Pelodiscus sinensis: one gene and its partners. The protein of the gene in region 3 purifies or fractionates together with the protein of the main gene of each other region. This does not show direct contact. Links are inferred from orthologs where the notes say so. Each region holds a gene or a part of one and is shown on either strand. Other genes may lie near its edges.

Region 1 (7,445 bases), about 29 Mb from region 3:
GTGAGGCAAGGTCTGGTCCCAGGAGGCGACTGCCGAACAAGAGCAGAGCAGTCACTCCCTGTGCAGCTGAGCCAGGCGGGACGGGAGAGTAAGGGGCAGATGTATGTGCCACTCCTCCTGACCCACGAGCCTGGGGCCAGGGCCCAGCCTGAATCCAGACACTTCTTCCCCTGAGTTCCCTGCTGTCCTGGCAGAGCAGAGGGAAGCTAGAGCCCTTCCTACGCAGGCAGGACGGACACAGCGGAGGCTGATCCCTGAACTAGCTCACAGGACTTGAGGGGGGATAGTAAGCGACAACGGGGGAGGGTGTGGGGCGAGTCTACAGAGCACTGCTGTAGTGGGTGGGGGCAGGAGGGAGCAGGCCTCTAGGACAGGTCCAGTGGCATCGGACAACTCCCGATGCTACCCCGAGGTAGGATTTGGTTGGCACGTCCCACAGCATTTGCAGGCGCGGGGAAGGCAACCTGTTCTGGAGCTAGGGACGAGCGCCAGAGCCTTTGTTCAGCAGCATGTCCACCTCAGTCCTCTGCAACCACATCCGCTTCTGGGTCTCGCTCTGCAGCTCCTGCATGTGGTGGCTGCCCCGGCAGGCCTGCACGGCCTCGCAGCCCCGGGCGTGGAGCAGATAGCACGTGGCACAGCAGTACGAGGGGAGGGCACCTCGGCTCAGGCACGAATGCAGCTGGTAGCACGGTGGCTCCGGCACTTCCCCACTGCTGCCCTCTAGCCCTGCGGCACCAGGTGGCGGCTCCCAGGGTCTCTCTGCAGTCTCGGACCAGCTGTGGGCCACTCTGCCCGCTGAGGGCACAGCTGTGCCAGCAGAGCAGGGCTGGAGGCAGCTTGCTGCCTGCAGTGGCTCCAGCACCGCACTGTCAAAAGGGCTCGTGCGCCCGGCACGCTCAGGAGAGACCGAGTCACTTCCCCTGCTAAGCTCCTTTCTCCAGGACATGAAAGAGAAAGAGGCAGCCTCTGGGTCGGGCCCGTTTCTATAAGGCTGCTCCCAGCCAGATTCAGTAGCCCCCCACTTGTCCCAGAACCTTCCCTTGTTTCCCCGGAGATCCTCAGGATAACGTCCTCCAACAGGCTTGCTCCACAGAGGGGGGCTTTGTTCCCGGATGGGAGGCCTGGGCTGCTCCCAGGAGGACAAACCCCAATGGGAAGAGTGCAGCCTGGCTTCCATGGGGTCGACCAAATCCTCTGGGTTTTCCAGCTCATCCCTGTAGAGATCAACGCTTTCATCACAGCCCTGGGCCCCAGGGCCCCTGCCTGTCGGCCATCCGGCAACACCCTGCAGCTTCTCCACACAGTCATCCAGGGCCCTGGTGCCCCTCCGCACCTGGAGCAGGTCTTCAGCAGACACTCGGCACGGCCCCAGCTTCCGAAGGATCTCCCCCAGGATCTCGCACTCCACCCTCGCTGCAAAGAAGCCACAAGCAGCTTGGACAAGCTCAGCAGCCGGGGGAGGGCAGGACACCACGAGATGCTGGTCGTCTCGCCGAACGTAGCCCATCCTGCGGAAGCTCCTGGCGATGTCCGTGTCCGCCAGCGCCGCCTGCAGGGAGTGCACGTACACCCCGGAGAACATCTGCAACACAAGCGCGGTGTGATGTGCTGAGCCCGGCGCTGGGCCCCAGCCAGACTCACCAGGTGATCTCAGCTCCCTTGGCTCCGCCACACAGTCGCTGACGCAATGAGTCACCCTGTCAGCAGCACCTAGCCCATGGCTGCCTGAGAGCACCTTGGATTCTCAGCTCCCCACCCCCCAACAGCCCAAACTGTGGTCCCTGCAGCCACCATTAGCCTCCGGGGGGGGGCGGGGGGGGGTGGGTGGGTGGGTGGGTGGGTGTGTGTGTGTGTGTGTGTGTGTGTGTGTGTGTGTGTGTCACACTCCATGCAGCACTGCCTGCTTGAGAACGCCAGGCAATTCAATTCCCAGGAAGGCAGCAGAGTTAGATTAGGGCAAGTGCAGCCCTGTGGTGCCCTCCCCCCCCCCCCCCGCCCATCTAACCACCCAGGTCTGTGCAGCCCTGAGCCGCAAGCTGATTTCTGTGGCACCCCAAGACTTTGCTAAGATCCGTGGACTGGAAGGCCTGACAACCCTGTGCCGGTGACTCAGCCCAGAGACAAGCGTCTCTGCCCCTACTCGCTTGAAGCCAGACAGACACGGGGAGGGTTTCCAGCAGGGGCGATTGGTGCAGCTGGGGGAAGGCAGGCCCCCACCCCCACTACAGCCCTGCCCCTCTGCTGAGGCCCTGCCCCCTGGGGCTGGGAAGAGGTGGGGCAGAAGAGAAGGAAGGGGCGTGTGTGGGAAGCAGGCACACACCTGTCAGGAGGGGAGGAGGTGGTGCCAGCCTCCCCAGCCAGGAGCACGGCGAGGCTGGGGGCAGCAACACTCCGCCCCCAATAGGCACTCTGGGGGCAGAGCGTGGGCGCGGCCAGGCCCCTCCCCGACCAGTGGCTAGACCAGGCCTCTGCCATTACAGGGAAGCTCTTTAATCAATTCCAGCGTCATCACCAGGGACTGCTCCAAGGGTTCTGTTCCCGGGGGGTTTGCACCCGAGCTGACGTCCTGGGAATGACCCCGGCCCGCTAACCGGTCCCCGTCCGGCACCGCCACTCACCTTGACGGTGCTGAACTCCCTCCGCCAAGGGAAGAGGTGCAGATTGACAGCGGCCAGCTCAAGCACCTCAAAGGCCCGGGCCAGCCCCCGGAGCGCCTGGGGCAGGTCGTCCTGTCCTCGCAGGCTGCTGGCGAGCGTGGCGAAGGCGTCGTTCTGCAGCGCGCGGTGCAGCTCCGGCTCCTCCAGCAGGCGCTGCCGCAGCGACGCCCTCAGGGCCGGGTCAGCGCAGACCCCCGCGCGGCCCCTGCGGAAATCCCCTTCCACACACCTCCTGTACTCCAGCTGCAGCGCGGCGCTGGGGCCCATCCTAGAGCCAGGAGAGCGGCTCAGGGCCCGGGCATGGCAGGGCCCCAGTGCCACCGGAAAGTCCCAAGATGGGCCACCCTGCCCCATTTTAACCACCCCCCGAGAGCCCAGCTCAGCCTGGGGCCACCCTGCCCCACTCTAACCCCCCCCCCAGAGCCCGGCTCAGCCTGGGGCCACCCTGCCCCACTCTAACCCCCCCCCCCCAGAGCCCGGCTCAGCCTGGGGCCACCCTGCCCCACTCTAACCCCCCCCCCCAGAGCCCGGCTCAGCCTGGGGCCACCCTGCCCCACTCTAACCCCCCCCCCAGAGCCCGGCTCAGCCTGGGGCCACCCTGCCCCACACTAACCCCCCCCCCAGAGCCCGGCTCAGCCTGGGGCCACCCTGCCCCACACTAACCCCCCCCCCCAGAGCCCGGCTCAGCCTGGGGGCCACCCTGCCCCACTCTAACCCCCCCCCCCCCCAGAGCCCGGCTCAGCCTGGGGGCCACCCTGCCCCACTCTAACCCCCCCCCCCCAGAGCCCGGCTCAGCCTGGGGCCACCCTGCCCCACTCTAACCCCCCCCCCCCAGAGCCCGGCTCAGCCTGGGGCCACCCTGCCCCACTCTAACCCCCCCCCCAGAGCCCGGCTCAGCCTGGGGCCACCCTGCCCCACTCTAACCCCCCCCCCCAGAGCCCGGCTCAGCCTGGGGCCACCCTGCCCCACTCTAACCCCCCCCCCCAGAGCCCGGCTCCGCCTGGGGCCACCCTGCCCCACTCTAACCCCCCCCCCAGAGCCCGGCTCAGCCTGGGGCCACCCTGCCCCACTCTAACCCCCCCCCCCAGAGCCCGGCTCAGCCTGGGGCCACCCTAACCCCCCCCGAGCCTCTGCCCCGGGGCTGTCCCGGCACGTGGGGGGGGGGGGGCGCGCTCACCTGCCCGCCTGGGCTCCCCCCGCTCCTCCGCCGGGCACCAACTTCCGGTTCCTCTCGCCCCGCCCCTCGGGCCAGGACACGTCACATGTCGAGGGGTGGGGCTGCAAGAAGCCCCGCCCACTGGGCGTTAACCCTGCCCCTGCCGGGCCGGGCGGCGGGGCCTGGCCCGAGACCCGCACAGCGACCCCCCGCATGCCCGTCCCCTGGGCGCCCCCACTTGGCCCCCCCGGGTACCCTCCTGCCCCTCCCACGTGCCCTCCTGGGCCCCCCAGGCAGAGACCCCCATGACCACCCCAGACACCCCCCGCCTCTCCCGGGGAACCCCCACCCGCTCCCCCCATGCCCAGACTCCCCTCCCCCACCCAGAGCCCCCACACTCGGGGCACCCAGAGGCTTCTGCCCCCCATCCCACCCGACCCCTGGGCAGAGCCCCCAGCCCACCCCAGGACACCCCCCCGCCTCTCCTGGGGACCCCCACCCGCTCCCCCCATGCCCAGACTCCCCTCCCCCACCCAGAGCCCCCACACTCGGGGCACCCAGAGGCTTCTGCCCCCCATCCCACCCGACCCCTGGGCGGAGCCCCCAGCCCACCCCAGGACACCCCCACTTGGGGAGGGCAGGAAACCACTGGCCCCACTGGTAATGCCCAGCCGGCCAGGGGCTCCCTAGGGCACCCACATCCTGCCTCGCCAGCTGATGCCCCCCCTCGTCCCAGGGGCTCTGCAGCCCGGAAGCCGCCGTCCTACCACCCCACGCCCGCCCTGCAGCGGGGCTGGTGTTTGGTCGCCGGTGGAAGGCGGGAAACGCTCTCAGCACAGGGGAGACGCAAGTGCCTTGCAGCCCCTCCCCGCCCAGCCTTGGCCAGCTGGGGACCCTCAGCCAGCCTGGCACCAGTGGGCCTGCTCCTGGTTCCAGCACCCGGTGCTAGAGCCAGCCCATGGAGCCGAGCACCCGGGCCGGGAGCTGTGCCCACTGGAGAGGGGTTATGGAGGGGGCCAATCTGGCTCCAGGACCCGCAGAGCCGACCTCCAATAGACAGATTCCCTCCCCCCAACACATGGCTTGCTGACCCCATGCCTGGGGGGCAAGGGCTTACACTGTCCCCCTCCCCCTGAGTGCGCTGCAGCAGAGGGGCCCACAAGGGTGCAAAGAGGTGGCAGAGATCCTCGAGGGCCGGAGAGGGCTCTCCGAGGGCCGGCGGCAGGCAGAGAGGAGGGGGCCGGAGCCAGAAGAGGAGCCAGGAGGTTGGCTGGGCCGTTTTGAGCTGGGCCCTGGAGCCCAGGCAAGCCCATGGCCACCTATGGGCAGGTGACGGTGCTGCTCTGTGCGTAGGAGGGGGGCAGGCCGTGGGGCAGGCGGGGGGCACGTCACAGAGGTGGCGCACAGCCCCACGGCGAGATGAAGGGACTGGGGCGCGGTGGGAAGGCTGAAGCAGGCAGGCTCAGGCTGGGCAGGGGAGGCGATGGAGCTGGCTCCGGGCTGCGCCTCGTGTGCAAGACAAGCCCTAACAGTGAGGGAAGCGGAGCCGGCTGTGTCCCACGCAGAGAGGGGCGAGCCAGAGGAGCGCGGAGCCAGGGAGACGGGAGCCACCGTGCGAAGGGAGGAACGGGAGCCCCAGGCAGGTCTGTGGCCTGAGGAGAGCGGAGAACAAAGGAGGCAACAGGGCAGCCTCAGTGTAAAGGAATCACCACCCCCCCCCCCGATTTGCCCCCGCCCGCTGGCAGACCCAGGCAGCAGGGAGGGCCCAGGCTGCCCTGCCAGGAGGGAGCCGTGGGCGTGCCGGGGAGCATCTGGGAGCAGGCCCGGGCGAAGAGACGTCAGGCGCACACGAGGAGCGGCTCCCTGGGCACTCCCAGAGGGAGGTGGAGACGGAGGCAGAGGAGGGAGCGGGCAGTGAGGAACAGCCGAGAGCAGGGGGCCCTGGCAATCTGCAGCCGCACACGGCGCTGGCTCCGGGCACCGGGGCGCGCGAGGAGCCCACCGAGGCGGGCAGAGGGAGCGAGGGGCAGGGCCTGGCTAGCCATGGCTCTCGGCAGGGGGTAGGGCCGAGGGAAGGGCTGGCCCGGACCAGGCAGACCGGAGCTGGGGGCGGGGGGGTCCCCCAGCGACCGGCGAGGGAGCCTGTCACTCGGATGCTTATGGCTGCCCAAGGCACTCGGCCTGTGCAGGGTGTTTGTCTCAGGCCACTGAGTTGGAACTAAGGGAGCAGCCCTGAGGCAGGAGGCAAAGGGGGGGGAGGCAGATGCAGGAGGTGGGGCTAAGTGGGCAGTGGGTGTGGCCAGGGGAGATGGGGGTGGAGCTAGGAATGCACTTCCCTACTTATTTCCCTGCCTGGGACGGGCACAGGCTGGTTGGTGGCTGGCCGTGGCTTGGCTCTGCCATTAGCGCCGGGATGTCTGCCTCGGAGCGAGTCGTGGTGGTGCTCGGAGGGGCTGGCACGGTGGGGTCCGGGATCGTGAGGGCGCTGCTGGAGAGAGGTAGGGGCGTCGGGCAGCGGTGACACTGGGGACTTAGTTTGCTTTGTTTTCCCACCATGGCGGCATACGGGCTGGCGTGGGCTTCGCCCTGGCTGTGATGCCAGCTCCTTGGCTCTGGGGTCCTTCCAGCGGCTGGAACACCCCTGGGGTGAGCAGAGCCTCGCCCTAGACCCCAGCTGCTGACCCATAGCTCCCTCCCACCGAGCCCCAGCCTCTGACAGCTCCTGGAGGGCTGCAGACACTTGGCTCGGGGACAGGAACAGGCTGCCGAGCTGCCATGTCCTGGCCAGGCAGCGGGGGCTGGGTGGGGAAAGGCCCCCGCCCAGCAGGAGCGAGGGGAAACCTGCTGGGGGTGCCGGCTGCCCCGTTGTGTTGCTCAGCCCAGCCTGTCTCGCCTGCCCCGCCCTAGCGAGCAAAGGGCAGGGGCTGGCCTGGGCACGCACTCCCAGCTCAGAGGGGCGTGTGCCCTGGCAGAGCCGGTGGGGGGTTCTGCCCGCACTGGGTGGCTGCCCTTGGCCCCTTGCCCCCGTGCACTGGTACACGGTGCCGCCTCTGCCTGGCTGAGCCTGTCGCCTGCCCGAGCCAGCTGCCGAGCCGGGAGGCGCCCCTCGTCCGTCTCCTGTGCCGGCGGCGTGTGCCCAGCTCTCCGGTGCTGCTACTGGGAAGGACACGTGCCCTGCGAAGCCAGAGCAGGCGGAAACCAGGCCCACTCCCTTCAGACGTACCTGCCTGAACCGCTGCCAGGCCCGCGTCCCCCGCCCCCGGCAGCCTGGCTCCGGGGCCCTTTGCCCCACAGATCTCGGATGCCAGCACCCTCCCGCCAAGGGCTAGTTTCAGGCAGGGAAGGCTCCGTCCAGATCCACGGGTGGGGGGTGGCTGGGGACAGCGCGGGCAGAGCCGTGGCTGTGTCGGCGGGGGGCCCGGATGAGTGGCTCCGGTTCCAGCCCTGGGCTTGCCGGGAGAGCCATGGGGGCGGGGTGGGGGAGCTGGCTCTGGTGTGTGCTCCTGGCAGCGCCATGCCAGCCGGGCACCCCGAAGCCTGCGGCGGGGGTTGGTGGGAGCAGCGTGGTGCTGGCACAGCGGGGTGTGCCCGTACCCCCCGGCTCTGGGAGATGTGGGGCAGCTCAAGGT
Region 2 (7,702 bases), on a different chromosome or scaffold from region 3:
TCCAGCACACATGGGCTGGGATCCTGCAGCCCAGAGAGGGGCTGGAAGCATGGGGCTGGAGCAGCCCTTGACTATAGCACAGGGACTCCCTCCCTGCACATGTTTAACCAGTTTAATTATTTAACAATTATTTAATTGTTAACCAGTTTAACAGGATTTTACATTCTAAATCATGCCCCCCATTCTTTATGTCTGTAGTAATTTAAGCTCTCTCACCACACAAGTACATATACTGATAAAAAACACAATCTACATTTAACTCTCACTAAATGTTATAAACAAGAGGGCACTGATTCAAACAGAGTCATTTAAGTACATAGCAATATTTAAGTGAGATATTGCTTACAAGCATTGCCAACTTTACTTCACTGTTGTAGCAGTGGTGCTGCCATTAGAGCTGAGTGGCTCAGCTCTGAAGGCAGTGCTGTGGCCAGCAATAGCACAGAAGAAAAGGCTTCATAGTTATGAACAACAGATTTACAAATTGACAGTTCACCACACATCTCATTTGGAATGGGAGGTACACAGGCAGCAGCAGAGACACACACACAAAAAGCAAATACTGTACAGTATTGTGTGAAATGTAAATTACTAAGAAGGGAGGAAAGCAGCATAAGAACATAAGAACCACCTTATTTGGTCAGACTAAAGGGTCATCAAGCCCAGTATCTTGTCTTCAATAGTAACCAATGCCAAGAGCCTTACAGGGAATGAAAGACCAAGAAATCATCACATGATCTATCCCATTCCCAGATTCTGGCAAACAGGTTAGGGACACCATCTCTGCCCATCATGGCTAACAGCCACTGATGGACCTATCCTTCATGAATGTATCTAATTCTTTTATGAATCCTGTTAGCGTCTTGGCCTTCACCACATCCTCTGGCAAAGAGTACCAGTGGTTGACTGTGTAGTTTTTCTGCACAGTACAGTTTCAAAGTTCTATTAAGTAAATGTTTAGTTGTAACCTTTGAAAGAACCATAAGGTTTTGTTCAGAGTTATCAACATTTTAAGAGTGGTGAACAATCTCCATTCCTAGGGCATTCGTAATGCTGATTTTCTACTTTATTTAATGCTGTGGGTAAATTTCAGTAGAAAGTTTCTCTCCCCTAATAGCTTCTCATGCCTCTCAATATATTCCATATATTCCCTCCCCCTCCAATTTGAGAACATCTGATATAGGTTATCTTGTTTGTAGAAAGGGAAACAGTAAATAATTTTAAAGACTGATTAAAGCTAAAGTACCTTTTACAGATTTCTGGTGACTCAAGGTGAAAGTCAAAGATACCATGATACCTTGCAAACAGTGTTCTTGGAAAACATTACTTTTCAATAAAACTGTTTATAGTCTCCAAAAATACACTTCTGTGGATGCAGGCTAACTATCACTATTTAGCAAATGATGCTGTAAAGCTCAGAACTACTGGTTATCACATATATGAAAGGTGCTATACAAGTCTAAGTTCACATCTGTATAGTTATCAGTCAGAAGAAAAGATCTTTTTCTTTCAGCAGTAATTAATCTGCTAAAGAGCTAAAAACACATAGATTATAATGATGCCAATGTTTGTTAAGTTAATTTTTCTGCAAGTCAGCATATGTAAATCCTACCAAGTTCAATGGGGGTCTGCCCATGTACAACAACTTGACTTAAACAGAGACTTCACAGGGATGGAGGGATTCAGTTGAATCGAACAACTTGCAAGATAAGGGCCTTAATGAGCCGTTAATATATCTCCATTGAACCTTTCTGGAAAACAGATTGCTCTAGAGAATTTACCTCCACATAAAAACCAAACTAAGCCACAAATACTTTTATCAGAACTACTTCTTAATCAACTGCATACCAGTTTCAAAGAATTTAAGTCAGCTCTTCCACAGCCAATCTTTCGCTGAAACACTCAAGTAGGAAACTCCCCCCCCCCCAAACTAAGTACAACATAAATGGACAATTACGTCACAAGTAATCAATACCAAATGCAATAAAGGGTCACACATGTACTGATGTTAATTTAACAGCCACTGGATTGTACCATCACTTACATTAGTTCAATAGATCTAAAAGGAGTCTTTTATGCTTATGATAATGTAGACATAAAAAATTGGGATATGATCATCAGATAGATACCATAGTAATGGGTGTATAATAAGTACATTGAATCGGATGGGTGGAAGAGAGAACAGAGACTTACAAAAATAGACACAGACAAAATGGAAGCATTACAATATAGTTTAAAAATTCTCCATTTGACAGTGATAAAGTTGGGTGGTTATGATCAGTGAGTTAATCAGAACATATAGAAGTCCCACAAAGTCTGGATTAAATTTAGACTGTTTAAGTAAAAATTCACCTATACACTATGATTCTTGCTTCGTGTTTGGAATATCTAAGCTCCCTGGCAGCTCAGGTTAACAGCCTTGCATCTAGCCATACATGTTTTCTATGCACATTATTGCAGTATTTAGACACTTCCGAGAGGGAGAATAGCACAGAATTTACTATACAACGCTCAGCTCTACGTGCCTGTGAGTAGTCTCACGGCCTCTCTCATAAGGTTGGGGTTTTGCTTCGGTGTCTATGAGCAGAATCTTCACTATCACCCCCACACCTTTGTGCCAACTGACTACCACTCTCGCCCCTCCTTTCTCCCCACTTCCCCGCAGCTGGCTGCCTGCCAGGACCACAACACCTATCTAGTTTGTAAGCGTCTTTCGGGTCCTGTAGGGTGAAAGCTGCCCTACGAGCCCCAGGGAGCTGTGCAGAGGGAGGAAAGGGGAGTCTCTGAGCACGAGGTTCGCTCACCTCTTCCACCTCTATCTCCTTGTAGTCAATTTCTTCGAAGTTGAGGACCGGGGGAGTTTCGATCATTTCAGCGGAGGCGGCAGCAGACATCCCTTCGCTGTCAACTAGGGCAGGAGGGGGCAGGGCCGGCCGAGCCGGGCCGGGGCAGAGGAGCGGCTCAGGGGGGCCGCCTCCCCGCTGCACAGGCTCTGGGGAGCGAGGGCCTGGCGGAGGCGCCTCCTGGGCCGCCGCGCGGGGCGAGGCCGCATCCGCGGCGATCCGGGGCTACTGGGGCCGCGCGGAGCCCCCAGCCGGGGGGGCCTCGCTCCGCATCCTGCGCCTCGGGCGCGCCGCCCGCCCTAGGCCGCGGCCTCCCTGGAGCCTGGGACTCGCCTGGACTGCGCGTCCCCAGCAGAGGAGACGGGACGGCCCCGGGGGCGGGGCCCCGCGGCCTCCGCCAGCCCCGGCGGGGAGGGAAGGCGCCGCTCAGAGCCGAGCTCCGGCCGCCGCTACTGGCAGGGGAGCCGCTTCCTGCTGCCCGGCCGGGGGGCGGGGGGGAGTCTCCGGCTGCTGCTAAGGCCGCCGGAGCGGGGCCATGGCCTGGCGGCGGCTGCGGCTCCTCCCGGCTCCTCCCCTCGTGCGCGGCCGGCGGCGGCCCAGCTCCGCCCCCCCCCCCGCCAGAGCCGCCCGGCAGCCAGGGGGAGCCGCCTCCGAGCCGCACAGACGCCTGGGACACGCGCCTAGGAACGGCCCCGCCCGGCGCCGCGGGGGACTCAAGCGCCGAGTGGGGCACCAAGCGCAGCGGCTGTTGGTAGCAGCTCCCCCAGCAGCGGCTCCCGGGGCTTCGTGTACCAACGGCGGATCCCAGCCGTCCCTGGGAGGGATTGCAACGGGCACAGCAACCGCCCCCAGCGCTACGCTGTGCAATGGCAGGCGCTGGTCTCGTGGCTGCATGGCGAGCAGTGGCGGTGCTAAGGCTGCTGCCTGTTTGTCCTAGTACCACGGGCTGCACCGTGCCCCAGAAATGGGCCGTAACAGGCCCGGCTTGTAGGTGGAGAGTGCACAGGGCAACATGCACTGCTCCTGGCCAGAGCATTTAGCTCCACGCTCCCATTGGCAGGGAACCTGCTGCTGGCTGCTTCTGGGAGGCAGCATAGGCTGCAGTACCAGGAGCAGCAGGGAGTCTGTCTTAAGAATATAAGAATGGCGAATAGTAATAGAAATGTAGCTGTGTTAGTCTGGTGTCGCTGAAACAAAAAACAGGACTATGTAGCACTTTAAAGACTAACAAGATGGTTTATTAGATGATGAGCTTTCCTGGGCCAGACCCACTTCCTCAGATCAAAAAAAAAAAAAAAAAAAAAAGAATGGTGGTACCCAGTCAGACCAAAGGTTCATCTTGTCTCATACCCTGTCTTCTGACTGTGGCCAATGTCAGATGCTCCAGAGGGAGTGAACAGAAACACGTAATTATTAAGAGATCCTTCTTAGGGATGTTAAATTTCAATTAATTAACTAATATAATAGTTGATGAGATTTTTCCATCTACTATTTGGTTGGTCGATAAGGACTAGGCGGCATTCTGCCTTTGTAATGTACAAGAGCCCCACTAGGGGCTGAGGGTAGCCGGCTTAAAAGCCAGTTTCCCCCCACAGCTCCAGCTCCGTGGGAGTGGACAGGGGTGCAGCAGCAGTGTTCCAACTTTGAAATGTACAAAAGTTACTACTGGGCTGTTGTACATTGCAAAGTTGGAACACCGCTGCTGCACCCCTGTCCACTTCCACGGAGCTGGAGCTGTGGGGGGAAACTGGCTTTTAAGCTGGCTACAGTCAGCACCTCTTCCAGTTCCTCCCCTTGCTGCCTCTTTCTGATGGAGGCAGCAAGAGGGGGAGAAGTGACTAGTTGAATAGTGTGTTGAGTATGGATGTTAAATTTTGATTAATTGACTAATTGAATAGTCCATGCAATTTACATTGGCTATTCAATTAGTTGATAAGGGCACTTTTGCCTTTGGAGTGTAGCTACAGCTTCAGGGTAGACACTTCAAAGGCAAAAGCGCTGCGGGGCACACAGGGCCATCAGGAGACTCAGGCAGTCCCCCGCTGGCCCTGTGCTCCCTGCGGTGTTTCAGAGTGGCACCTTAGAGCCTGAGGTTAACTGGACACCCACTGAGCTCAGGCTCCACATGGGACTGCCGCTTTGAAACACAGTGTGCAGCCCAGTGTACCAGGCTGGCCCTGGGTTGCATGTGGTGTTTCAAAGTGGCAACACCGTGTGTAGCACAGGGTCTGGCCCCAGGCTCCATGTGGCACTGCCTCTTTGAAACACCCTCTCCAGTCCCCCCCTTTGCTGCCTCTTTCTAATAGAGGCAGCAAGGAGGGTGAAGCAACTAGTTGACTAGTCCTTCACATCCCAAGTGTTGACTATCTGATAAGCTTTTGCTTATCTGATAGTTGACTAGTCGATTAGTTGCTTACATCCCTAATCGCTCTGTCATCCATTTCCAGTCCCTTACAAACAGAGATTAGGGACACCTTTGGCACCCTCTGCATCACTGACCATGAGCTGCTCAAGGTAAGCCTTTCCTGTCACAGTCCTGTCACACCCAAAGCTGGAGTACCTGGCTACACCCCAAAGCTCTCTTCCTCAATCTTATTCCAGAGCCCAATTATCAGAGTCAAATTATCTTGGGTTGAGGGCAGCAACAGTTTTCTTCAACTGGATTACAAGAAATACAGTGTGAAAACCGCTAGACTGTACAAATACCCTCACACTACTTAAGTCCTGCACATTCCAGGGTGCAGTTCAGTCCAGCGAAGGGTTGTATCACTGATTACCCTATAATGCTGAGTGTCTCGCAATGCTTTGCTGCTGTAATACCAGCCTGGGCTGCTCACAACTAGAAAGTCACACTCTGAGGTCCGGTCTACACTGTGGGGGAAGGCCAGCTTAAGGTATGCAACTCCAGCTACGTACATAATGTTGCTGGAATCAACGTACCTTAAGCCAAGGTTGGCATCATCTCTACAGTGGGAGGTTGACAGGAGAAATGCTGCACTTGACTCCCCTTCATGAGGAGTACCGATGCTGATGGGAGCTCCCGCAGCATATGATTTAGCAGGACTATGAACCCTGGAAGATGGATTGCCAGTGTGTCGATCCTCCAGTAAGTGGAGACATGGTCTAAGTGTGTGTATAGCTGTGATCTTGGTAAAGCTATGTTGACTTCAGTAGCTTGTCAATGATACTGCAATCACTCTGTTTTCCACCAGTCTTGCTAGGGTTGCCAATCCTCCTGGATTGTCCAGGACTCTATGGGAATGAAAAAATATGCCATGTGATTAAATCTCCAAGAATGGAACCAACCCAGACTGACAACCCTACTACTACTTGCAAAATGATCACATCATTTCCAATCTTGGATTTTCCCTGAAATGAATTTTGTACTGTTCAGCTTTCACTTGGGCAAGTCAGATATTAAAGGTGCGTTGCTCCTGCAAAAACAATGAGGAGTCCTGTGGCACTTTAGAGACAATGGGTATGTCTACATTGCACACTTTTTTCAGAATAAGCTATCTTGGAAGAAATACTCCGAAATAACTTATTTCAAAATAGCACATCTACACTACAGGGAAGCTTCAAAATTAGTCTGAGGCAGGCTACCCCAATGTAGAAGCACTACCTTGATTTAGTGCCCCAGGAAGCACTAGGGAGTAATTACTTTGAATGGCCCTGGGGAGGAGCTATTTCAAAATAGCAGCAGTGGAGTGTCCACACTACACTTATTTTGGAATAGGCATTATTCCTCATGGAATGAGGTTTACAGAAGTCAGAATAAGCCGCCCATTATTTTGAATTTATTTCAAAATAACTGAATTGCTGTGTAGATGCTCATATTGTTATTACAGAATAATGGCCATTATTCCGAAATAACACTGCTGTATAGATGCACCCTAAACATTTATTAGGGCATAAGCTTTCCATGGGTAAATCCCACTTCATCAGATAAATTGGAGTGGAATTTATGGAGTCACGGAATTTATGGAGGCATGGGTGTGTGTGTGTATATATATATATAGAGAGAGAGAGAGAGACAACAAAAGAAAAAGAGGGTATTTGTGTAAATGAGGCTAATGAAGTCAGGGTGGAAGTGTCTCATTCACAGCATTGATGTGGAAATGTTGATAGCAAGAGGGGAAATTACCTTTGTAATGGGTTAACAAGTTAAGATCTTTATTGAATATTCAACAGTTTGATATTTTAATTGCAGTTACTGAACAGTTCAAACAGAGCACTGGATTAGTTTAGATTAAAAATGAATGCAGGCTTTTAAGTAAAATCAAGTATAAGAGATAAAGTTAGAAATGGTTACAAACAAATTAAAGTGAATAGACAGCTAAAAGTATAAAACTTACTCTAGAAAGTTTTGGCTCAAGGCTTTGTTCACGACAGATATTCCTATCCACAGTTTTCCATCAAGATGGAGACTTACCCTCTCCTCCATCAGAATTCCTCCCAGAAGCCCAAAGATGCTGGTGCCTTTATTTTCTTAGTTGAGGGTGAGAGAGAAAGAAAGAGAGTGAGAGAGAGAAAGAAAAAGAGAGGGAACTTAGGCTGTGTCCAGACTCAGGGGTTTTTTCGAAAAAAGTAGCCTTTTTTCGAAAAAACTTCACCTGTGTCTAGACTGCAGCTGCATTCTTTCAAAATTAAATCGAAAGAACGCGGCTTTTCGTTCGACAGCGGTAAACCTCATTTCACGAGGAAGAACGTCTTTTTTCGAAAGTCCTCTTTCGAAAAAAGGCGTTCTTGAATGCCAACAGGGCTTTTTAGAAAGAGAGCATCCAGACTCACTCGCTGCTTTCTTTCGAAAAAGCGGCTTGCTTTTTCGAAAGTACTGCTTGCAGTCTAGACGCTCTTTT
Region 3 (8,301 bases):
ATATATATATATATATATATATATATATATATATCTCTCTCTCTCTCTCTCGTAATTGCTCCTCCCATTCCCTACACTACAAACCTCTCCATCCCTTTTGCCACCCACTCTTCCACACTTACCCTGTGAGCATTTGCATATGTGATTTATTACATTGCATAGCAATGCATTGTTGAATATTATGCACTGTGCCTAACAGAATGTATAACAGTATTGTCTCACTCCTGCATGACAAACTTAAGAATATTTTCTATCCATCTAGGGTCTTTTACCATAGCCATGTTTGGAATATCTGAACCTAACTTAGTATCAAAACGGGTTGAGACACAAGAGAGAAAACATCTTCCGAACAGGAAAGATCTAATAGGAGCAAGTGACTGAAACTTTGTAAGTGGGACTTATTGTGGCTCAAATGTGCAGTTTCACCCACGAACCGGTCCAGTTAGAAGTTTTCCTATATCTCCCCACCCCTTTCTTCCCTGGAGTCACTCACATATACTGTTACAGAGAATCATCTCACTTGAATAAAAAATTTGTTCTGAAATTTGAGAATTTTGTTTCTGCTTTAGCATTACTTGGGCTAAGAAATGTGATTTGTATCTCCTATCACCATGAACATACTCAAATTATTGCCCTGTCTCAAACTACAGAACAAGTGGGGAAAACTGGATGAACCTGATTCAGATTGTCTCTTGTAGATTCCTCACTTCAAATACCATGTTTTTAATAACTCCATGTACAGAACCACCATGACAGTCAAACAGCCTGAAAAATACGTTTAAGCGCAAGAAGCTATATCCGTTGATTAGACAAAGTAGCGTCCAAAGAAGTCAATAGCTGCACATTTGCAATGCTGAATGAAATAAAAATATGCCTTTTAAAAGAATGCTTAGCATTGCTAAGAGAAATCTTAAAAACAGACCAATAAATTATACATTTTAAAATTTATTTTTACTGTTTGGATTTTGCTACTTAACTTTAATACTGTAAAATATGAAATACATATTTTTCAGTTTTCAAAAAGAATGTTTAGATAAAAATGTGTTTAAAAGAGAAAACACTACACTATAGTTGTTTGATATATTAGGTACATGGACTTGATTTGGGGATGACATTTGTGTATCAGTGTGGCATTTATCTCCAATTCAGCAGGGCTGTGCACAGAGTTCATGTTTTGAAATAAAAGACGAAAACAGTTTTAATGTTCTTGATTATGACTTAATATATTTCTTTATTCTTGTTAAAGTTTGTTTCCTGAGTAGCATAAAATATACTTAAACATTTCCTCTTTTAAATGCTTACTTTTTTTAAACACCGATTTTCATTTTCGATTAACCTACCCTTTTTTCTTAAACATTTGTACACATGAAAATACTGTTTAAACTTTTAACTAGATAGCACTAGCACATTTACCCAGTGTTGCTTGGGTCATTAAGGAGGGGCTCAGGACAGGGGGCCGAGGGTTCAGGACTCAGAGTTGGGGGTACTAGAGGCAGGGGGTATGGAGGTGCAGGAGTCAGAGTTGGAAGATAAGAAGGGACTCAGGAAAGGGGAAGCAAGGGTGCAGGAGGTTGGCCAGCTCACCAGCACAGGAACCTTATCTGTCTATCGTGGCCAGCAACATCAAGAATCCTGCCCTCGGCCAGCCACTCTCTTATCAGTGGACCTGCCCTCCTGTGGTCATTCCGCAGCATAACTGAGCCTATAGCAGACTTGTCCCTTTGTGTTTTATGAGAACCCATAGTATTTCAGGCAAATCCCATTGTTCTGGCACAACCAAACCCTTACCTTGCTTTGAAATTATGATAAGAAGCAGCATCTGCATACCATATTTGCTGGTCCTAGCTTTTACATTTAGGATGACTTGAACCCACTCAGACAGACTCTCTCAATTTTGTATATATAATAGAGGAATGGTGGCCAGGATCATTACAGTAAACCTGTGAGCCGAACTGACCAAAATCAGTGCCCTTCTACACAGCACTTATTTCAGTGGGCAACTGAGAAAAAGCACAGATCATTATAGTGCTAAATCCTAATCCTACAAACAGATCTGAGAGTGTGAGCCTCTTACCCAACTGACTTCAAATAACGTTCTGCAGGAGTTACCAGAGCCAACTGTAGGATCAGGGCCTAACGGAGATAGCCTACCTCCAAGATACATGTTGGTTGGCATGATTTTCCGCAAATGCTTTTAACGGAAAAGTTTTTCCCGTTAAAAGCATTTGCGGAAAAGAGCGTCTAGATTGGCACGGACACTTTTCCGCAAAAGCACTTTTTGCGGAAAAGCGTCCATGCCAATCTAGACGCGGTTTTGCACAAGAAAGCCCCGATCACCATCGGGGCGTTTTTGCGCAAAACAGTTTTTAGCTGTCTACACTGGCCCTCTTGCACAAAAACATTTCCAGAAAAGGGCTTTTGCCCAGGAATGTCAAAGCATTTGCGCAAGAAGCACTGATTTCAAACAGTAGAAGGTCAGTGCTTTTGCGCAAAATCAAGCGGCCAGTGTAGACAGCTGGCAAGGTTTTGCACAAAAGCGGCCGCTTTTCCAGAAAAACTTGCCAGTCCAGATGCAGCCGTTGGGTTTATTTAAAATAATCATAACGAAAAGAAGCCAAATCTCACCTTGCTGCTCTGTAGCCAGTGTCTAAGCCTTTGGGCCAGCGCAGTCTAAGCACAGAGGGGCTGCCTTACACACCCGGGAGGGAAACGGGGACACCGACAGCGCTCGGCACGTACCCTGCCCTCATCTACCGGCAGCCCTCCGAGCGCTGTCCCACGGGCGGGGAGGGGGGGCTTTTACCGCCGCACGTGCAGAGATTTAAAGGGATTTGCAAGCGAAGCAACGTGGGGAGCAGGGAGACAGCGCAAGGAAAGCGGGTCCGGCTCCGCCACAAGTTCGCGTGGAGCCGCGGGCAAGCTAACGCTGCCCCCCCCCCCCCCCCTTGTTACAAGGACCAGGCGGTCGGACAAGCTCGCCCGGGACAGGCTCGCCGGCTGCGCTCCCACCGGCCGGGGGGGGGGGGGAGCGTTTATAACCCGCCGGCAAAGCAGCTCCCGAGCCTGAGCCTGGAAAAAGGCCGCTGCCGCCGCCCATAGCGGCACCGTTAGGTGTCAGCAGCCACCCCCCACCCTGCCGCTGCTGCCGCCTCAGAGGAGGGGGGCGGGGGGAGAGGGCAGCGGGAGGCAGCCCCGAAGCGCAGAGCGACCGCTCCGGGCCCATCACTCACCTCATCCTCCGCCCCGCGAGCCACCTCGCTGCTACCGCCCAGGCCGCCCCTCCCGACAGCCCCGGAGCCGCTGGCGCGGGGACTTTCCCAGCCACCTGACACCCTCACGGGACTCCTCAAGAGCGAGGCAACCCGCGTAACCCACCCCCTCAGAGCCGGCCCGGCCCGTAAAACCTACCCTGCTAGACCCATAGCACCGCCCTCAGCCTTCTGCCGGAACCAACCACAAGGCCCCGAGCCGGCCACTCTCCCTCCTATTGGGCAAACACACACATGTTCAGCAACCCTGCCGCTACGAGGGGATTTCCACTCCATCAGGCTTGCCAGAGCCGCAGATGAAGGCGGGGACAGACGTGAGGGAGGAATCGATCAGCTAGGATTGATTGGCCAAGCCCTTTAGGCCCGCGATGAAGATTGGCTACCGAGACGAGGTGGGAGGGGAGAGAGGAGGAGCGGAGGAATGCTTGGGTTTGATTGGTGAAATCATCCGAGTCTAGCGATTGGTAGAATTTAACCAGGTGTGGGGTAAGGCAACTTGATTGGCTGGATCCTTCAGTAACCGGCTGACAGCAGCGGGGAGCGAAGGCGGCGGTCAGGAGCCGGCTAAGGGAGCAGAGTCAGCAGTGGCTGGAGCGCATAAGAAGGGCCATACAGAGTCAGGCCACCAGTCGCTAATGGAAACTCACCGTTAATTACATAATTACATCCAAGCCATTTTGCTAGTGCTGCAGCTGGGGACATTGGTTCATTGTAAATTATTACACAGACTAAGCACTTTAACTGTCTCATAGTCATAGAGAGGTAGCCCTGTTAGTCTGATCTTGCTAAAACAAAAGGAAAAACTACGTAGCACTTCAAAAACTAAAAAGATGGTTTAATAGATGATGAGTTTTTGTGGGCCAGACCCACTTCCTCAGATCATATTCTGGAAGAGAACTGGCATAGCCATATATATACCAAAGGACTACAATGAAAAAAGTGAACATGTTATTAAACTGACAAATCAAATTTAGTGCGGAAGGTGGGGTAAGGGAGAGGGAGGCTGTTTTGATCTCGAATTTTTTTTAAATGCAACATATTTTGAAGCTTTTTTAATTTCTAGTTTCTGCACTTACTTAATGAAAGCAGAGATTTTTACTAAATCACAGGAACCTGAGGATTAAAGAGAAATATGAAATATTGCAAGATCTGTGATAAAATTGCTCCATATTTATTAGAGATGTTAAATATTAGTTAATTGACTAATCAAAAGCGGAGAGGAGTCCTGTGGCACCTTATAGACTAACTCCATGGTCCCCAACACGGTGCCATTTGTGTGCGCCCACCAAGTGCTCAGGGCTGGCCTGGCCCCGGGCACATGGTGCATGCACAGTGCCGGAGCTGGCCCGGGCGCATGGTAAGCGCCAACCCCGGGAGCGCCGCGAATTGGCTGCTCGCACCTCGGGCATGCGGCGCTTGCGGGGGGGGGGGCGCCGGGCGCGCGGCGCTTGCAGGGGAGGGGCGCCGGCCCCGGGCGCGCAGCGCTTGCAGGGGGGGGCGCCGGCCCCGGGCGTGCAGCATTTGGAGGGGGTGCCGGCCTGTGGCGCACGGCGCTTAGGAGGAGCGCCAGCCCCGGGAGCACGCAGCTATGGGGGGGCCGGCATGCATGTTTCCCCTCCCTCTGGCACCCGGCAGGCGAACGGCCACGCCCCCTGGCACCTGGCAGCCTCTAAAGGTTGGGGACCACTGGACTAGCAAGTGTTGGAGCATAAGCTTTCGTGGGCAAAGACCCACTTCGTCAGATGCATGCAGTACGTGCATCTGACAAAGTGGGTCTTTGACCATGAAAGCTTATGCTCCAACACTTCAGTTAGTCTATAAGGTCCCACAGGAATCCTCGCCGCTTTTGCAGATTCAGACTAACATGGCTACCCCTCTGATACTTGACTAATCAAGTAGCCTATGGAATTTCCATCAACTACTCAATTAGGGTATGTCTAGACTACATGCCTCTGTCACAGGAGGCATGCAGTCTAGACGTACCCATAGCCGATAACAGGGGGAGTGGTCCCACTCCAGCTCTGAACTTTAATGGTAGTAAGAGCCTACTTCTGTGCAGTGCAGAGTCACCACTCCCAGGAGCTAACCCTATGGTGAGTTACCCCAAGGTAGCTCCTGTGGGCGGTGCAAGCCTGGACTGAACAGTCCCAGCTCACACTGCCCTCTAGGATGCTGCAGCTCTGCATTTTAAATGTAGTAAGAGCCCAGCAAAGTGCAGAGCTGCAGCAGGGTTAGTTCTCTGGGTGGTGGGAGCTGGGACTGAATAGTTGCTCTGCTACCCCTGGCTCCCATGCACCATGTAGATGGTGCTGAGGGGCAGCCAGCTTTCAAGCTGTCTTCCCCCACCACCGGCTCCTGTTTCCCCGCCCCTTGCTGCATCTAATACAGATGCAGCAAGGAGTGGGGGAAAGCAAGCAGTCACTCGACTACCCGATAAGGATAGTCAACTACTCGACTAGTCGCTTACATCCCTAATATTTACCATTGCCACTCCCTTAGACATGCAGTGAGACATAGCAGTACAGGTAACCTGCAGTGACCTGTGCTATACAAGTACATACACTCCCTTTTGATGTATCATGATCTGACATATCTGTCCATATATGATCCATTAGATATGGAATAGCCCATATTCAGTCTCCCTCAGATCTGCGTTTACTCAACATGCCCAAAGCCTGTCGTCCCACACCTTAGACATGTCATACACTTCTGTGCAGTGCAGATATACCCCCATATGCAGACAAGCACTCACTGTTAGATGTGCAAATACCCAGTTTGATTACCACACACCTTCCTATGTGAAAGCATCCAGTTCCACATAAAAGAAAGGGTACATGCAAATCTAAACGTATTTCCTGATACGCATGCATGCTGGTGCATCAAACATTCATTTGCCTCATTTGCATATTCACAGAGTAGAGAGACTGCATTTATTCAAATAGGGGCTAGTACACATTTTGATGAAAAATGTTCACTTAATACATGTTGATAGAAAAACAGTTTAACTAAATTTCCTTCCTTAATTAACTAGGCAATATATTGCAAAGCAGAAAATGTCTGTTGCTACATCAGTTGTAAGTAGTAGGAAAAAACTACAGATGTATTGTTAAATCATTCATTATCTTTGTGAAAAGTTGAATCAATATTATATGTTGGATTACCTGCAGTCAGCATAAATTGCGATTTAAAGGCCTTAACCAAAGATCAATGAAATCATTGGAAAGACACCTCCATTGAATTTGGTGTGCTTTGCATTGGGCCCTGACAAAGTATTTTGGCACGATAACTCTTTAATTACACAGCATATGTGTGGTCAATACATTATGTGGAACGTGTATATTAACTAAATAAGTCCATATGATACTGGCAATATTTTCTGCTGGTAAGTAAATTACAAGAACTCCTGCATCAGTTAGCACATTTGCTACTTCAAAGACATACAGTACTTTTCAAAAGAAAATTCTTGTGCAGAATTTTCAGAGCTTTATACCAAAAGGTTTTCCAGTCAAAATTTCTCCATGTTAAGACTAGCTAAGTGCATGTTTTCAATTAACCATTAATGTTTCCTTTAGAAATCAGTGCCGGTCATTCAGTCATTACAATAAGGCTATTATAAACCTATTTAATACAAATATGCAATTTAACTTTTCCCCTACTATAGCGTTGGCAGTCACTCAGAACTCATAGGATAATTAATTTAAATAATGCATCAGGGAATACTCAGTAGTGAAGACTTTGTGATAAAGTTACTTACATATATCTTTGTGTGAACACTGAACATGTGAACATTCAGTTGCCTCTAATCTTTAATACCCAGTTTAAAAATGAGTCAGATTCTTAGGAAAGTGCAAAGTAGTATTATAAAATAAGATTAACATATACATGCATGTATTAAAATCCAGATTTAGCAACTGCTAAAAATGCACGATTCATACTTTTATACATACTAGACTGTTACTAACTGGTGATTTAAATAATTGTTTTCCTTTAAATCATGGAGAGACAAACCCGCAGTCCTATCTCTTCCACCTGAAGTCCTGCAAGCCACTCCCCCAGCAGGAGGCAGGTGGCCCCAGCCTTCTCCCATCAGCACAGGGAGGGAGGGCGGACAAAACCCATGGCCCAAGCCTTCCCCAGAGCATAGGACAGGCAGGTGGCCTCTGAGCCCAAGAGGGCAAGCAGCTCCCCTGACCTTGGAACATAGATGGTTCCCACCGCAAGCCTACCTGGCCGCAGGAGGATTGGTGGCACAGCTTCAGCCTTGCAGGGGTAGCCACAGGGCTGAAGCCCAAGTAGGCCCAAGAGACTGGGGGGCCCATAATGAATGGGGGTGCTGAGGGCAGAATGTAGCCTGATTCAGCTGGGCAACATGGGAAGGCATTGCCTTTCCTGGCCTCTTATTCCCTCCACCCAGGCTTTAAATCATATAAAAAATTCCTTCTCTGAAACTTGTGTTTCTAGCAGGCAACTCCCAATATGCTTAGAAAACTATGAAAAAATAGTATGAGTTCATGTAATTAAAGACTGTATCATAATGTACATGCAGAAAGAGTCCAAATTAAGATTTCACAGACATCCTTAAATCTGATATTTCCTAATTCAGAGCTTGACTTTTCATCCTTAATGTTCTTGTAATGTATTACAGACCATGTCAACTTTAACTTGGATTAATTAAAACAATCCTGGGGCTGTCCTAGTTTACACTGGGTACTTACTGTTCTGTTCCCCAAAGGTCTTCAGAACCCAGTGGAGGCAAAATTAGCCCATAAGCAAGAAAAAGTCCTGCTGCAGCTAGAATCAGGCTTTTGAATATATCTGTGGTAAAAGTCATGGAACGAAACATGTCTTTTTTAAAAAAGGAGCGAAGGCACAAGAACCCTGTTATTGTGATGATGTGTGAGATGGAATAGACTTAGTCTAAATGTGAGAATCCAAAATTAATTAGGTTGACTGCTTGTAGTGAAGAGTACGTTTCCCTTACAAATGGATTAAATTTGTTATGTAACTAGTGAAACACAATGAATATGCAACC
Region 4 (7,850 bases), on a different chromosome or scaffold from region 3:
CCTTCAGAATAATGATTACAGCAGAAAAAGCAGAATTAAGATTGTACTGAAATTCAACTGCTTTTTCTAAAAAACGTGACAGCTCTGAGAGGCAATCTATAGGGAAGTCAAATAATTCTGTCCCCGTAAGAATAAGCAAAACCCACGCAATCTTAGATTGGTCTTCAAAATGGTTTCTAAAGCATATGACAAGAAAAATCCCCAGACCAGCAGAAGAAAATCCCCCTGCTATTTCTTGCCATATTAACTACTCAAGCTAGCACCATTCAAAATACAAAGTTCTGATTCAAAGAACTATTGAGTAAGTGGAATTCCTTGCCCCAGACAGTGAGAACATAGCTTTTATTACACTGAGCAACTCAACATGAAATATGGCTGAACTGTCACAATAATTTTACCACAAACCCACAGGCATCTTCCATGCCCAAGGGGGGACATGATAGCGGTTTTCAAATATCTAAAAGGGTGTCACAAGGAGGAAGGCGAAAATTTGTTCCTCTTGGTTTCTGAGGACAGGACAAGGAGTAATGGGCTTAAAGTGCAGCAGGGGAGGTTTAGATTGGACATTAGGAAAAAATTCCTAACTGTCAGGGTGGTCAAATATTGGAATAAATTGCCAAGGGAGGTGGTGGAATCTCCCTCTCTGGAGATATTTAAGAACAGGTTAGATAGACATCTGTCAGGGATGGTGTAGACGGAGCTTGATCCTGCCTTGAGGGCGGGGGGCTGGACTCGATGACCTCTCGAGGTCCCTTCCAGTCCTATTATTCTATGATTCTATGATTCTATGAATAACAATTTGGGCTAGAGAGGCTCACACACCAGGGTCTCATCAAGCATGCAGATTTTAAAAAATTCATCTGAACCTATAAAATAACTTACTCTGGTATTCCCTTTTCAATCTGTTTGAGAGCCTATAGGTAATATAGTGAAAGCCTAAACCCATACCTAATACAGTGAAAGCTTGCTCTAACCTGGCAACCTTCTCAATCTGGTTTCCATGGTATACTGTTTGAGAAAAGCTAGGTTCTCTCCTTGGCACTGCCTTTAACATGTTGACAATTCTACATTTTCAAAGAGACCATTCTCCTGGAATATTCTTCCAGTGCTACTTGTCAGTCAACTTTGCTGCTAATTCAGCCTCAGAACCTTCCTGTGTCTGGTACAAAGTCAAGACACTTTATTATAAATCACTGCTGTCCATCAGTTACCTGCACGAGCTCCCATCCTCTCTCTAACTTCAGAGTCCATTTACACTGAAGGAAAACAAAAGCCAACCCTGACCAACCACATCATGAAGCCTCATAGCTTGGGTCAACTGGGACTAAAAGGAACAATGCAAATGTTCCTAACTGATCTGGAACTCAAACTCTGAAGTTTCTCTCCTACTCCCATGATTTCAGAGCGGCAGGGGCAGCTAGCTAAATGACTATCATTAGCGCCCCAGCATAGGCCAGAGACAGCTGGAGGGCAGGTATTTGTTTCTGCAATGTAACTACACCCGTAGGACCCTATGCAAAACTTGCTGTGGATTGGACAGTCAATGGACCATCCTTCTCTGCATAGGCCACACAGTGGCCAGAAGGGACCACCGGGATCACCTAGTCTGACCTCCTGCCCAACACGGGACATACCTGCTCCAGCATCATTCCCTGGGCTGAGATTTTGCACCCTTAGAGGCATCTCCTCCCAGCCTAGCGGCCCCCCCCCCCCCAAGAGGAGGAAGTCTCCGAGTACATTACCAGGGGCCGGGGGACGCCAATGTGAGCCCGAGATCTCTCTGGCCCTTCCGCACCTGTGCTCGGCGGGGCTACCCAAACCTCCCCCAGCCAGGGAAAGCGAACCCAGGGCCCGCAGCGGGGCAGGCCGGGCACCCCGCACCGGCAGGCGCACGAGAGCCGGGCGGAGAGGGGCCCGACAAGGACCCGCAGGGCTTACGACCAGGAGGCACCCGCGGGACCCACCCCGCACCCGGAACTCTCCCCCGCTGGGGCCTCCCCACTCACAGCTCGCAACGAGGGGAAGCCGTAGCGCGCCCCGCGGCCAGCCGCCCGCCTGCAGGAAGCCGCCGGTGACCCGGATACAGACCCCCGCCCTCCCTCAAGCAGCCGGAAGTGACCCCTGTGGGAGCGAGAGGGGAAGCACAAGGACCCGGAAGGGCTTTGGCGCATGCGCGGTGCTCTCGGGAAACACTGCTGTAGCTTGTAAGGCAGCCCTCCGTCCCTCTCTCTTGTCCCTTCCCCCCCAGCGAGGCAACCGCATGCTCCTGGCTCCAATAAAAGCGAAACAGTGGCAGCCACCACGGGCAGCAAATCAGTTTAGGCGGAGGAAGTGACGTACTACTGAGGTCCGTAGTCATTGCGCATGCGCTTCTTTGGGGACGTCACTTCACGTGTGATGTCATAGAGAAGGATTTAAAGGGCTAGAGTATCTTCCTCAGGTTTTTTTTTCTTTACCTGGCCTCTTACCATAAGGGCTCTTCCTATAGACCTGCAAGGCCACCTGTAGCTTGACTACTCCTGTCCAGCAAGGGCCCAGGCTGTAAGTGGCCTGCTGGATAAAACTGGGCTTTTCACAACAGGGCAGCTCTGGCAGCAGGTGCTGATAGTCCTGGGATGTGCCTGGTTGCACCAGCCCTGCTTGAATGAGAGTCCCAGGTACTTCATCTAGAGCCCCGGTGTCTAACACACTATCCACATGTGGCTATTTGGCTGGTTGAGTGTGACTAGTTGGCTGGAACAATGTGGCTATTTGACTGGCCGAGTGTGACCAGTTTGCTATAAGAACTGGTTGGACACCACAGAGCTAGAGCCTTGTTAGGTGAGGGAGAAGATGGATCAGCTTTTCTGGCACTAGCTAAGGGCTTGTCTGCCCTATAAAATTAAGTCAACTTTATGCTGATGTACAGCCATAACTGTAATTAAAATGATGTTTCACATCGCACTATGCTCCTTCGTCAGTGGTGTGCATCCCTACCAGGAGTACTTCCAATGAGTAAAGTGGGGCATTGTGGGAGCACTGCCAGCTGGAGATCCCACTCACCCACTGTAGAGGTAGCAGGCAGAGCAATCGGTCTGGTGTGGAGCTCACAGCTGGAGTTGGTAGATGCCCTCAATACTGCAGCCAGCCTGCAAGTGCCCAGTTGGAGCCAGGATTATGGAGGCTGACAAACTCTTCACACCACAGTGGCAGCAGCCCTGGAAACCTCATCTGCAGGTGAGATTTTTGGTACTGCTAGGCTCCCAGCTCCAGGACATTCTTGTAAGTTACATGGGGACTCCTATTTCACATTTTGACTCTTGCTCCCTGCTCTGCCCCATAATGGGGAGGGGAGGTGCGCTCCAGCTATCAGCCTACACGGGATGGACAGCCAATGTGATGTAAACAACATAGTGTCTACACGGATATTGCATCATATCTATATCTACCTAAATTGAGCTTTTCATGGAGGTAGAATTATTAAGTTGGTGTAGTAGACAATTTAAATCAGTGGGAGCAAAATGGTAATATAGAAACTTACAGAATTAGGTTGATGTAAGCTGCTTTACATTAACCTAACTGTGTAGTGTACACCAGGCCTCAGTGACTGATAAACTCCTTTGCAACCAATGCCTCGGAACAGGACAAAGCTGCCACCCCACAGAATCCATCTTGAAAAATAAATGCTGTTTCCGATCCTGACCTGGCCACCCACCTGCAAATGATTTAACTGTCAGAAAATGATCAGAAATGGAAAAAACACTGTTTTCAAGTTTTGACCTGCTTTAGTGTTTACTTCATCACCTTTGTTCCACAGAGAGCCAGAGAAGAGGATGAGCTTTAGTCAGTCTGATTCCAAAATTTCTAATGCATTACCAATGTGATGTATTCAAACAGCATCATTCAGAACCCCAAACCATGAGACTTGCAAACAAGAGTTGGGCGTGCATAATTTATTTTTATTTTTATTTTTGAGCTTAAAAGCTCATAAAGGTTCACATTTTCCACGTTTTTCTAAAACTTTGAGCTAGAAACACGCTTTTAAATGAAAATTGAAATGTTCATGCAGTTACAAGAACACAGGAACTGAGGCCTAAGGAAAAAAACATTAAATATTGTAAGATTTGTGATAAAACAACAAGAGTTGGCAACATAGCATGGACTATTTCTTGGGACACGCATAGCAATCCAGCAGAACCTCTAAAAAACAATCACATGTGGGGAGGCAACAGGATGCTGCACTAAAGTGGGAGGAAGGAAAGCTTTGACAGGGTCATTGGGTCACTAGTCCTGCTTATTCTTGGGATTAAATGGGATTTTGAAATGTGCGAAAGAGTCACAGCCTTGGTCTTACATCTCATTTGAAAGATATTAAGGTCAATTCCAGCAGCTCAATTTCCTCACTTTCTAGAGGAGAAATGTGTTACATCATAATTACAGCAAAAAAAAAAATCCTTTAAAATAATGCAGAATGTGGCTACTCATTCACAACAATGAAATCTATTGACAAATCATGAGACAATTATTTTATAAATTGCTTTGAAAGCCACAGAATAACAACAGCATTATCCTTTTCTAAAAAGGTCAATATTTCTTATATAGCCAGAACAGCCATGATGATAAATGAAGAGGAAAATAGCATGACGGTTTGTTACTAGAAAACACCCAAATCATATGCTAGTAATAACATAATGATTAAAATGTGGACAACCTGCATCCTTGAGGCTATGTCAAAAACCAGGCAGATTCTGCCTGCTCACGGTTACTTACATTCTGTTGCTTTAGCTATTTTTTAAAGTATTTGTTTGTTTTTAGTAACAGGATCATTTACCTTTTGTTCCACTTAAGATCAGTCTGAAACTAACAAACTCCATTTCCTTTACATTCTGCTTGAAGGGAGCTGATTTTACCTCAAGCCTGGCTTGTTGTTCTAACAATGTTTAGGTTCTAAGGCTGCTGGTGATAAGTGCTAATGTGTTTTACAGCTGACTAGAAGCTGATTGTTTTCCAAGACCAACTCTGAATGTCAAAAGCATAGTTGTTCTTTCTCTGCATCTTCAGTGCATTATGTTCCATGTATGGCAGGTGACTCCATCTGACAAAGCACTCAGTGAATTCAGTTTCAGGAGGCCTGTATCACTTGCAGGCAGAAGCAAAGCGTTAGCAAAGTCTAAACTATAAGACAGAGTGTCAGGCACCATATGATAAGGGCTTAAATCTGACCCATTAAAGCCTTTACAAATGAGTCCTTATTTTGCAGCTGGTTCCGAATTTAAACTCAGGATTAAACCTACCCGTGGATATGCATGTGCAGTTAATATGCATGTTGTGAGCACAGTTCTGAGAAAAGAACAGAGACCTTCTGTCACTGGCAGTGTATCCATAGCTTTGATTTTCTAATTCTGCTAGTTAAGTGACAAGGCACTTGGCACATGAATGGAAACATTTGGCTTCACATATACAGTATGTTTTCCTCTTGTATTTTTCCTTCTGCCTTCCTGATTTGCATTTCACACTACTCTCCTCTCTAACTTCCTCCCCACCAAAAGTTAATTGTGAAGCATTCAAAGTTTTACTTAAATCCTGCAGAGTAGGACAGTGGGTTAGGACAATATCTGCAAACTGCTCCATACATAAATTGCCACCATCCTTGTTAGGAAAGGATGCTTTTTTTATTTTTTTAAAGAAAAGATTGATCATTATTCCATTCAGTCACTCATAGATTTTAAGGCAGGGGTGGGCAAATACCTGAGCCTCCACAGGTACTGGCGATCGCAGCTCCCATTGTCCACAGATTACTGTTCCCAACCAATGGGAGCTGCAGGAAGCAGTGTCCTAGTCTGCACCACTTCCTGCCACTCCCACTGGCTGGGAACGGCCATCCGCGGGCAGCAGGAGGTGCGATTGCCGGTATCTGTGGAGGCGCAGGTAGATATAGCAGCAGCAGCCTGCCAAGGGCTAACCCTGGCAACCACCACTGTTTTATTGCTCACACCTCCTTTAAGGCTAGGAAGGACCATCATGATCATTTAATCTGACCTCCATCATGCTGCAGGCCTCAGAATCTCACCCACCCACTCCTGTAATCGATCCCAACCTCTGACTGGGTTACTGAAGTCCTCAAATCATGATTTAAAGACTTCAAGTTACAGAGAGTTTACAGTACATTAGTTTAAACTTGCAAGTGATCTGTGCCCTGTGCTGTAGAGAAAGAGAAAAAACCCATCATCTTTGCTACTCTGACCTGGGGGGAAATTCCTTCCTGACCCAAAATATGGCAGTCTTGTTAGATCCTTAGCCTATAGGCAACACCCACCAGCCAGACACATGGGAAAGAATTATCTGTAGTAACTCAAAATCCTCCTTATCTCGTGTCTCATCACAGGCCATTGGAGATATTTCCTGCAGTTGCAGATCAGCTACATGCCATTGTAGACCGTCTCATTGTACCATCCCCTCTCCCCATAAACATCAAGCTCAGTCTTGAAGCCAGTTAGGTTTTTTTGCTCCCCTTGAAGGCTTTTCCAGAACTTTACTCCTCTGAAAAGTCCTCCTTAACACAAAAGAGTTACTGTACCGGATCAGACAATCTGTTTCTTAAAAACTTGATCCTGTATCTCTCAGCTGAAATGCTGCATATGGAAGTGTAATGAGTACTCAGGGGAACCCAGTTCTGCACTAAGGATAGTGATTCTGCATGGCTGACAAGTAACTTCCTAATAGCAAAATTAAAGCTCAAAGGTCATTTGACAAAATATTTCATGAGAGTGGTAAAGATGCTATTTGAGATCTTCAGATGTGCTCATTCTTCCCCAGCATTGCTTCTTTTTACCCTGCACTGTGGCAATGGGGTAGACATGCAAGCGGCTTGATGCTTATTACTTGCTCATTCCACAGGGCTACACTTGGGGCTTGATTCAAAGCCCATTCCAGTCAATGGGTGTCTTTTCATTGGCAGCCCGCCTTTCCTTCATGGCCCGCCTTTCCAGAGACCATCTGTACACGCTCATGCTCCACACACTGCATTTCCTCACCCTCGTGTCCCGCTCCGATACCAAATGGCAGGATTATTTAAGATCAGTTGAAGGTAAGGAATCCCGACGGACCAGTGTTTATTCCACCTTAATCCCACATCCCATTGAGGACATCAGCTGGCAGCTCCTCCATGGAGCCATGAGCATGGGTGCATACCTGGCACAGTTCACCCCCGTCCCAGACGCCTGCCCCTTCTGCGGCGTGAGGGGAAACCTGGTGCATGAATATCTGGAATGCACCAGGTTGCAGCCCCTTTTCCAGCTCTTCCAGAACCTATTGCTGAGGGTCTGGCTGCACTTTTCCCCTCACCTTTTTATTTATGCGCACCCCATCCATGGCCCCACAAAGTCACAAGACCTCCTTGCCAACCTCCTCTGGCTCTGGCAAAAGCCGCAATATATAATACCAGGGGGAGAATGCTGGATGAGGGGGTGCTCTGCAACTGTGGGGCCTACTTCCGTTCCACCCTTGTGTCACATATCTAGGCAGAGTTCCTCTAGGCAGTGTCCGCTGGCTCCATAAACAGCTTTGAGGAGCAGTGTCCCCATCCGGTTCCCTCATTTTAAACCTTTGACCCGCACCACTTGACCCTGTTTTTCATCATTTGTCCCTCGTATTTAGTTGAGCCCTGGGCCCAGTTGTCCCTCCTGCAAGGCTGGGGGAGGGGCTTTTAGAAGTGGGTGGGCTGGCACCCGCCTACCCCGTTGGGTTCAAATAGTGACTTCACTGGGCTTACAGTCTGGCTCTCAGAGCTTAGTACTTGCACCCACACATAGCTGCTGCTCACACTTAACTGCAGTGCAGCAGCCTTATGTTCCCTTTTGTGCAGTGAAAAA

The links.
Region 1: the proteins of CYLD (region 3) and SPATA2L purify together in Homo sapiens (affinity purification with mass spectrometry; 3 studies listed by BioGRID and IntAct, with this or other methods). This does not show direct contact. The link is inferred for Pelodiscus sinensis from reciprocal best matches to the Homo sapiens genes CYLD and SPATA2L.
Region 2: the proteins of CYLD (region 3) and MAP3K7 purify together in Homo sapiens (affinity purification with western blotting; 4 studies listed by BioGRID, with this or other methods). This does not show direct contact. The link is inferred for Pelodiscus sinensis from reciprocal best matches to the Homo sapiens genes CYLD and MAP3K7.
Region 4: the proteins of CYLD (region 3) and SPATA2 purify together in Homo sapiens (affinity purification with western blotting; 10 studies listed by BioGRID and IntAct, with this or other methods). This does not show direct contact. The link is inferred for Pelodiscus sinensis from reciprocal best matches to the Homo sapiens genes CYLD and SPATA2.

What each region holds. Positions count from the first base shown.
Region 1 is NC_134722.1:2,496,749-2,504,193, reverse strand, and holds the start of SPATA2L (spermatogenesis-associated protein 2-like protein), read right to left. Parts: upstream 3,070-7,445; 5' UTR 3,015-3,069; coding exon 2,622-3,014; intron 1,586-2,621; coding exon 476-1,585; 3' UTR 1-475. Other genes in the region: L-fucose dehydrogenase-like, read left to right, coding at 6,080-6,314.
Region 2 is NC_134713.1:65,051,761-65,059,462, forward strand, and holds the start of MAP3K7 (mitogen-activated protein kinase kinase kinase 7), read right to left. Parts: upstream 3,459-7,702; 5' UTR 2,895-3,458; coding exon 2,805-2,894; intron 1-2,804. UniProt on the Homo sapiens protein: Serine/threonine kinase which acts as an essential component of the MAP kinase signal transduction pathway. Plays an important role in the cascades of cellular responses evoked by changes in the environment.
Region 3 is NC_134722.1:31,411,282-31,419,582, reverse strand, and holds the start of CYLD (ubiquitin carboxyl-terminal hydrolase CYLD), read right to left. Parts: upstream 3,391-8,301; 5' UTR 3,231-3,390; intron 2,947-3,230; exon of another isoform or gene 2,626-2,946; intron 1-2,625. UniProt on the Homo sapiens protein: Deubiquitinase that specifically cleaves 'Lys-63'- and linear 'Met-1'-linked polyubiquitin chains and is involved in NF-kappa-B activation and TNF-alpha-induced necroptosis.
Region 4 is NC_134728.1:19,621,049-19,628,898, reverse strand, and holds the start of SPATA2 (spermatogenesis-associated protein 2), read right to left. Parts: upstream 3,333-7,850; 5' UTR 3,043-3,332; intron 2,334-3,042; exon of another isoform or gene 2,007-2,333; intron 1-2,006.